3 linked regions of the Drosophila melanogaster genome follow. The protein of the gene in region 1 interacts with the protein of each later gene in a pairwise test. Each region holds a gene or a part of one and is shown on either strand. Other genes may lie near its edges.

Region 1 (3,398 bases):
TGGTATACTTCCCGTGATAGCCTGACTTATCAAGGACTAATAAGAAAGTTAAAGAGTATTCTTTTCGTGGCCATTCTCTGTTGGAAATTGGTTTTTATAAGTTCTTTTCTAACGGGCATAGCACGTGTAACTTTTAGTTTTGGCTATGTAATCTGGATTTTCGCTGTCTCCCTAAGCCTAATTGTGATCTACGCGTTCTTCTTTGAGCTGAAACTCGTACGGCCAGATATTTGTTCTAAAAAGTCAATTAGAGATGACGGGCAAAAGAACATATCCTTGCCCACCTTTGTTGAAAGTCTGAACATGAACGGTCTGACTCACTTCATGATCTCCAATTTCCTTACGGGAATGGTCAACATGTCCCTGAACCCGGGTCATCGAAGTGATCTGGAGTCTGTTGTTATACTGTCCATCTATATGTTTGTTTGTGCTGGAGTGGTCTTCCTTATGCTAAAAAAAGGCATACGTGTAGCTTAGTATTTGTTGTATAAATTAAATAGCAAAATACAAAGTACGGGTGAAAGTTTATTTTTAACTGACCACAGGCTAAAAAGTATACAAAACGAGTACCATCTTCCTAAGGACCACAAATAGACTCAAAGGGCATGATGCAACCATTCGGCATGACTAGAAAAAGGATGATGGGTGCCTCCGACCCGATCTTAGAGGGAGAGTTGTCTACATCGGAATCCTTGTACACCTCGTACACCATGCACCCATCGTTGCCACGAATCAAACGGGTCCACAACCACTTTTGGTCCTTGTGTCCTTGGGCAATCTGGGATGTAAGCTTGTCTTTCAGCTGTTGACAGGCCACCGAGCAGGTGGAAATTGATCGGCTTATCTGTTCCCTTATCGTGGCGCTGCCCGCCTTATTTCTCAACGGAATATCCTCCGCCGGGTGATCGAAGTCCACCCTGGGAGTACGCTGGCGGGGACAACAGGCAGCGGAACTAAGCCGACTCGCGGTCTTGAAGCAGGAAGATTTCGGAGTATCCATTGGACTGCAGGGCACTAGTGGAGCTTTTGGACTGGCGCAGCATCTCGTTGGCTTGGGATAACAACAGATAGTCGACGGCTTGGAGCAGCATGTACTCCAGGCCGATGAAGATGGATAAGCCGAGCTGCTTCCGGAACTGCAAGGGCTTGGTGCACAGGGTGCTGGTGGTGGGCAGGATTCCTTCTTAAAAGCTGATCCTACGGGTATATTTTATCTATGGACGCATTTATATTACTTCCTTCGATTACTGACCTTCATTCGACAACTCCAGCAATGGAATTATTTTCGTGGCGCCCGAAAGATAGAGGATGCGGTCCAGGATCGTCATGATGACCTCATCTGGATGCGGGCCCAGCATGTCGAAGAGTGGAGCCTGCGGCTTCTTCCCCAATCTGAGACCCGTTGGACACTCACAACGCGTCGTCTGAGTGGCACAACAGGATTTCATGGTTTCGTCTGCTAGTGTTGGTATAAATAAACACCCAATTTTTCCAAATGATATTCTCCCAAAAAGCCGGACCGGAAGTAAGAGATATTTGAGTGCTTAGCATGGACCTGCTTTGTCAGGAGCCATGGGCAGATGTCAAAGGTGCGATATCCGGCTTAGGCACACGGCGAAGGCGTCACAAAAGATAAGATTTCTATTAAGGAAATGACTGGAATTGCTTGCATTGTCCCTGGGCATCCAGGATGAGCACAGATCCCGAACGGCTGGGCAAGGACATTTAATTTAACGGCGCAAACAAAGACCAAATCAAAGTTCAGCCTCCGGGGGAAGCTAAGCTCACAAGCGACCAGGGTTAAAGGACCGCGCAAATGACCAGCAATGTGCTTCTTATTGTCAAAGGAAAGGACATCGAAAGGAGGTTTAACTATACGAAAACCTATCTACAAACCTTAGAGTTTTAAGTTAACATTTTCATTTCGTGACTTAGATACCTTGATGAAGATTAATTAAGATCAAGATTACTAATGATAAGATTCCTCAAAAATTCCTCACTGAAAAGGGTATCAGGCGTTCGCATTGCCGAACATACGTCTTTGGAATTTTTTCTATCCGACTCGAATGTAATTACGGCAACAGTTTCCGCTGCTGATGCGTAGCCTCTGCTCGCCATTCGACTTTGATGCGCTTTTAATGTCATATCCTGGCCAAGGACGAGGGCGTCGCCGGTGAATCTTATCTGATTTGGGCCAGCACAAATGCAATTTCCGTCCGCCAACCTTTCAACCCTTCCTGCCCACAAGCTATGCAGAGTTAATAGCTGGGAACCAAATATAATCATATAGTGTACCAGGAGGCGTGTCCTGGAAAAAGCAACAGGATGAGGCAAAACAGGAGAGCGGGAAGCACGAGCACCTGTTACCATAGGGGGTGGCTTTTTGGCTTTGATGACAGATTATTTTCATTAGCAAAAGAAGCGAATTGTTGTCCACTTTTGGGGAGAGTCGAATTATGAGCGTTAATTATTATGTTCATGTTTTTCCCCAGCATGTAGAACATGACATCCTGATTGATGTGGCCAACAATCAGGTAGAGAATTGGTTTTTCTGCTTACCGCATCTTTTTTCGAGCTGCCAATTTGCTGACGAGTTCCTTTTTTCGACTGCTCGTCAAATCGGATTCCATTCAGCGGGGCTTTCATAAAAAGAAATAAATAAAAACCCAAATATATCTGTGCATATGCATGAGTGTGTCTGCTGCGTGAAGGACTAAGCTCCTGGGCCCTGGGGAAATCGCTTAAGCCGTTCATAATGAATATCATGTGTACATGTGGGTGTGTGTGTCCATGTGTGTGGCAGTGTGGTGACTAAGCTGCAGGACCTTTTGCCAAGCGGCAAATGTGCGGAGAATGTGCAATATATGTCTGAACTATAGCTCCTCTGTGGCAGGACACCTACATGGTTCTGTTTAAAGGACTTAAATTCAGTTTTAATTCAGTTTCCCTAGCATTAAGCAATATATAGTTGCTTGCGATTGAATCGCCTCCTTCCATGCATTCTGAATTTTCTTACAATTTCCATAGAACTTTTCAAAGTTCCACATCAAAAACTGATTCGTTATGGCTTCCTCGAGCGTTTCTCCGCCTTCAATCCTTCACAGCAGCCCACTGCGTTACCACAGAAGTTCGTGACTTGGGCTGGGGCACAGACGCCCTAACAACTTCAGGCACATGGCAAACAAAATGCTTATCGAACAACAGTTTTTATCGGAGCTTATGCGTCATGGCAGCAGGCAGAGGAAGCCCCATTCCACAGGTCCTTTGAAATGCTTTTAGTGAGCGAAATTGCGCAATTGTGGAGCAATCAATGCGAAGCCAAAAAAAGTGTTGAGCAAATCGAAAGGAATCCAGGACAGAGAACGAAAGAGAAGTGCTTGGCATATACCAACTATCAT
Region 2 (3,035 bases), on another chromosome or scaffold:
TCTGCTGCTCTTTTTGGAAATGTTACTCTAGGACTAGGGTTTGGATTAAAATCCAAAGGCGAACAGCAAATGAAAATACCATTTCTTGCACTTTATTTATGTAAAGCAACTAGGGCGTCATGCTGATTTGAAGGCAACATATAGATTGCACATTTATTGTATGCAAATGCAAGCTAAAAGCTTATAGGAAATTGATTTGCTCGTATAGTTTTCACTTTATAGTTTTAAGAGCATTTAAAAGCCGGCTAGCATGTGAGTGCCCTTTGTCTATTGTTTCAAATTCAGCTTTCAATTTAAATTGTTTGGATTACTCGTCCTCTATTGTGTACATTGAAAATGTATTTCGGGGTATTTGTTGTGTCAACACCAAGTGAACGAGATAGTAGCACCCACTACCAACTACACACCACATGTCCCGATTTAGTTGCCCTGATTTCTCAGCCAGACAATAGGACGCGTCGCTAATGTCCCCGTGCAGTAATAATAATATATATATACACATATATATCGTGTGGCTGCTAATGTGGCAGCATTGTATTGGGTTAATTATTCTGGTCGATTTAAGCATTTAACTTTTGAAAGGAGCTGTCAAAGTGTGATGTCAGTACGTCAGTCAACAATACCAGCAATATTACACACACAAAAGCCAAAGAAGAATCGCACTAATCGCCGAGCATTTTGTCCGCGTGGGTGGATGACGTCTTAAAGTTGCTCCAACAGGTCTCTGGCTGATTGTTTACTTTTCACGCCATGTATTAGCCATTGTTATGGTAAAGACTTTATAATAATTCAGACAACAAAGTGCGGCAAATGTTTACATGTCCTCTTTCTCCTCATCCCCGTCGTCAGCGTCCACGCCCACCGCCTTGTCGGGATAGAATTTCTTGAGTATCCTGTTCACATCGGGCACCAGTGCCTCGTAGTCCAGTGGGAACTTATCCCGACGCGGCGGTCCCTTCTCCAAGCCGGACCACAGCAGATGCTCCGAGGTGCGTGCATTTTGCGAGAACCCTATCTCGAAGGCTCCTTCCCGCGGAACCTGGCGTCCGTTTCGATTCTTCACCAGCTGGAACTTGCGCTCCGGTATCCGTTGCGTGAAGAATGTTCCGCACTCGTCGGCCTTGGTCTGGAAAATGGGACACTCGTACGTGTGCTCGATGTAGATCATGGAACGATCCTTGGAGAAATGCTCATCGGAGGACCAGTCCACGTCCTTTTTCTTTTTTGCCGGCTTCTTTGGTGGCATTGTGGTTTTTTTTTTAGATTACTTTCACAATTTCGAAGTGATTTTGTTAATAACCAAAACCCATTTTTATTTCGAATGTTGACAATCCTAGAATTCATAATTGCTTTGATTGATTGCTTTTTGGTTCACTTATGATTCTCTGGTACAAAAGTACTGTGAACCATAAATCTTCTTTCGTACATTTCAAAGTGCGCAACGATGTCCAGAATATTTTTGCTGCGCCTATTTTTAAAATGCATGACAATCCGAAAGAGTCAACAACTTTTGGTGGCACGCATACGAAAAGAATCGCTGTTCGTTTGTTAATTTGGCTACATTGACTGACAACGCAGCCGCCTTTGAAAAAATTACAAAAAACGATATTGTATAGATGCAGGGGAAAATGCTTCCATTGGCTGGGTAGCCACAATTTTGTTCATTATATATAGATTTTTGTTTTGTATATATGCAAAGCTCCAATATAGACGTCAATTTATGGCACTGTCTATATTCATGCAGAAAAGCTACTCAACAAATTCTATGCATAACAATAATATATTGTTGGACACAAAAACATGCATAAACAATGGGAGAAAACATAAAAATCGAGTATTTAAAGCAAGTAAATTATACGATGAGAGCATTTCGACGACTATCAGATATTCTTTACGGATTCCATTGAATGTAGGTTTATCACAAAATACGCTGATATTTATCATAAGCTGGAAGAAGATACCAATACCAAATCAATGGATTGTTTTCATAAAAAAATGAAGAATGAAATCGCAAACCCTATTATTTTCAAGTCTCTTAATAGTGTTTGAAGGACATCTAATTGAACTGATTTTAAGAGCAAACATAGTCTTCTTATATAATTTGTGCATTTTTAATTGGAATCATTTAAATTCTTATTTTGGAGCGTAAACATGATTGCAACACTCTTTTATTTGCTTGATTTTATTGGTTGCGGGATTGCGAGATTGCAAATGGTCATTTATTGCATTTTATTTCTCCATTTCTCGTGGCTGAAGCTGAATGATTTTTTACCTTCAGCTGCCCACACGTGGCCCGCATTTTCCTGATCCCCCCCAACCCCCTCTGACCCAGAGGGTCATGGTTTATTTATGCAATTTTCCAATTTTCCCAACATCGGCCCACAAATAAAACCGAAATGAAAGCATACAAAATGCAGCAAAGAGCTGGGAATTTAAAAAAATAAAAAACCAAAAATGTATATGAAAATGCAATTTGCAAATTAACAACAACGCAATTGTAAACAACAGTGACAATGACGTCACAGTGAAACATACAACAGAAATCTATTCGTTGTGGGGTTAAGAATGCAACTTTTGGCGTTTGCACACATACTAATTATGCGCATAAACTGTGTATTCAAAACTAGGGTCATTTTGAAGCAATATTCAAATGAGCCAAAAAGAATATTTCAACAAATGTATCTGCACACTCGGAGTTTTTTTTCTGCTGTTTTTCCGCTGTGGAAAAATAATCATCGATGCTGCGGCTTCAGTGGGGCAGCGCCAAGAGCAACAAATATTTAAATATATTTATTATTCTGAATAGGCGTGCCAGCGTGTGTATATGTATCCCACATACGCATGTCTGCACATACTTCAGATATATTTTTAAAAAATCAAAACGACAATTTGCTGCTTGCATCATTTTGAAATACAACAGAACTTGAACGTCGACGTCGACGTCGCCAGCGGCAGCGGCAGAGATCGTCGATCGGCGAGCGAAAATTTTCGGCAGCTGCAGGCAGCGCCACTCGATCGTACCGCTTAGTGCCACG
Region 3 (3,005 bases), about 12 Mb from region 1:
TTTGTGGCATCATCGGTTTTCCCCATCGCCTCCTATTTTTTTTTGTTGTTGCTGTCCTGTATTTACCCTTTTACCCAGCCTTTTGGGCCCGGCAATCAAGCGTACTTGTTGTACGACTCCAGCAACTGGCCAACCGGCCAAAACGACCGACCAACCGACCAACAACTTTAGCGGCCATGACACAAAGATTGACAGCATGTCGTCGCTGTTTGGAAGCCTGATTGACATGAGTAATCAAGCAGCCGAAATGTGCCCACAAAACGCAGCCAGCAATGACACTGACAACGAAACCAGCCAACCAAACCACGCAGCCTTTCGTTTGCCCCTTTGACTGACAACGATGAGTCGACAGCGACGGCAACTGGCAACTTGCAACTTGCGACTCTCAACTTGCGGCAGCAACATTGCGGCTCTGTGCCACGTTCAGACCACTGCCATAAGGGCAATTTCGATGATGAAAGAAGGGGGCTTTCACTGCTCCCAGATCTCGACTTTTGGATGCATAAGCCCAGTTACCATAATCAGTATCAATTAAACCACAACTGTTGCATAAAGTTATCTAAACACAGCAGAAGGAGCATAATTTAAGGCATTGAGGGTACATAGAGGGTACCAAAAGTAAAAATAGTAATAAATACTAATAAATACTTAGCATCATATAACTGATGGTCCTTGAATCTGTTAGCCATGTTCTTCTATCCCTTCTTTCTGAACATTCTCATCCAATTATTACATTCCCAGCTAATTCACGCATCAAATGCAAATTGCATTCAAGTATGTTCCATCCAGCCACGTAGCTCTTCTTGCCAGACTTGAGCACTTTCAAAAATCCGTATCCTTTGCGGATTACAAAACAGAACCAATATCCCCATTGTCAACTCGAATGTGGCCTTTGATGAAGGCGACACGACATTGACAGACGGTAGCCGATTGACTGCTGACAGGCGGACTGGCGGGACAACAGTCCACCGAAAGTTGGGATCCCGATCGGGATCGGGAAACGGGACTGGGATTGGGATGGGATGGGATTGGAATTGGGATTGAGGAGAGCAGACAAGCCTTTCCGATCTGGCCAAAATGAAGAAGCCGCTGCCGAGGGAGAACTGCAAACTGCAATTCTGATGACTTTTTGTCAGGCCTGATTGACGTCAACGACTCGAAGACGTTTGTCAGGCATATAAATCTTTTGGCTCGTTTGTTTCTTGGCTATGCCCACATATACCAATCCCAATCCAAATCCGACTCCAAGCCGGGGGATTATAATGGCCGACAACGACAGCGATGCGATGCATAAACAATGCCACTTTAAATTGGCAATTGTTGCGACAGTAAATTTTACAATGAATTACTACACTGCCATTCTTTTCTTTCCTCATTTTTATGTTTATTTATTTTTTTTTTTTACGGATTTTCGAAACAACAGCTAAATAAAAGGGTCGAACTGGCAGTCGAATATAATTGCACGTCTCTGGGGCGAAAGTACGACCTGATCTTGAACTGCAAATTGGGGCGTAACTAAAGACCGATTTACCAATTCTTTTTTGAAAGTTTAACCTATGGGTTCGATTTATTCCAACTATAAAAAGGCCGGGTTAAAGGTGTTTTAGGTACAGTTCACTTTGGTCTGGAGATCAGACAACAGTAGTCTAGCTAAGATTAACTCATAAACTAGCTGCGGTACCATGGCTCAAAAGGTGAGTTCAGCAAAAAAGGATAACAACTAAAGCAAATTATTATTCACCTCGATTTTCCTTAGTTTTTCATCGCCTTTGCCCTCTTGGCCATTGCGGCTATTCGGGCAGCTCCTTTCCATGGCCACGAACACCACGGTCATCACGGTGGAGCCACCAGTCATGCCTCCGTGCATCTAACATCGCACGACGATCATCACGAGGAACATCACGGTCATCATCACGACCATCACGGGCATGATGATCACCATGACTCCCATGCTGAGTATGACTTCCAGTACGGCGTCAAGGATCAAAAGACTGGGGATGTGAAGTCACAGAGTGAGTCACGACATGGCCACACGGTTACCGGACACTATGAGTTGATCGATGCCGATGGCCACAAGCGAACTGTCCACTACACGGCGGACAAGCACAAGGGATTCGAGGCTCATGTCCATCGCGAGAAGCTCCACGATCACCACCAGGCGGAGCACCATGGCCATGGACACAGCGGCTACGAGGGCGGACACGTTGAGTTCGAGGAGCACTCCTCGCAATCCGGACACGACTATGGCCACGGACACGAGGAGCACGGTCACGGTCATGGTCATGGACATGGTCACGGAAGCAGCTCCCACAGCTATTCGCTGAAACAGGAACACGGACATGGGCACGGCCACAGCCACGGTCAGGATCATGGTTTCGAGCACGGACACGGTTACCATTGAGTTGACCCCTAAGCTATACAATTGTTTATCAATCGTTTATTGAACTCTTACCAAATACCTATTGTTGTTATACCAAAATAAATCAGGCAAATATTTTCAAAATTGAAATAATTATTTGATTTGAAATGGACAAGAAGTGTAACTAAAGTTTCCCTAAAACCTATTAAAATCGAATTATAAAGTTTCTATACTTACCAACGAACTATTAACTTAAAAAAGAAACAAATCACAGTAGATAGCTCTTTTCGATACATTTGGAATATTTAAACATTTCAAATTATTAGTGAAATTTTAGCATATTTAGCATATGGTGATTTATGAATTGAATAGGCAGGCATTCGCGACTCAACACCAAGACGAGAATCGCATAGACCGTAATTTGGGTCAGAATCAGTAATGTGCGACACGACAGGCGAGATATATCACAAATTCGATTATTATAAATCATATTTGTACAGTTTATCCATAAATTAGCCCGCATATCTATCTATTCGCTGGCTATTTCAGGTGGCTGAAACTTGTATTTTTTATGCAAGCATACACACATATTGTATATATGCGTGCACATGGCGATTTTTTATGGGCGATTTCTTTTCACTTCTAG

Evidence for each region. The genes of interacting proteins can lie anywhere in the genome.
Region 2: the proteins of CG3557 (region 1) and CG13186 interact in a two-hybrid assay, tested with the Drosophila melanogaster proteins (one large-scale study listed by BioGRID).
Region 3: the proteins of CG3557 (region 1) and Cpr35B interact in a two-hybrid assay, tested with the Drosophila melanogaster proteins (one large-scale study listed by BioGRID).

The regions. Positions count from the first base shown.
Region 1 is NT_033779.5:2,384,255-2,387,652, forward strand, and holds CG3557 (uncharacterized protein), read right to left. Parts: upstream 1,539-3,398; 5' UTR 1,449-1,538; coding exon 1,253-1,448; intron 1,198-1,252; coding exon 578-1,197; 3' UTR 507-577; downstream 1-506. Other genes in the region: PIG-Wa (phosphatidylinositol glycan anchor biosynthesis class W a), read left to right, coding at 1-477.
Region 2 is NT_033778.4:12,079,529-12,082,563, reverse strand, and holds CG13186 (uncharacterized protein), read right to left. Parts: upstream 1,289-3,035; 5' UTR 1,247-1,288; coding exon 815-1,246; 3' UTR 507-814; downstream 1-506.
Region 3 is NT_033779.5:14,423,809-14,426,813, reverse strand, and holds Cpr35B (cuticular protein 35B), read left to right. Parts: upstream 1-1,624; 5' UTR 1,625-1,682; coding exon 1,683-1,694; intron 1,695-1,756; coding exon 1,757-2,401; 3' UTR 2,402-2,499; downstream 2,500-3,005.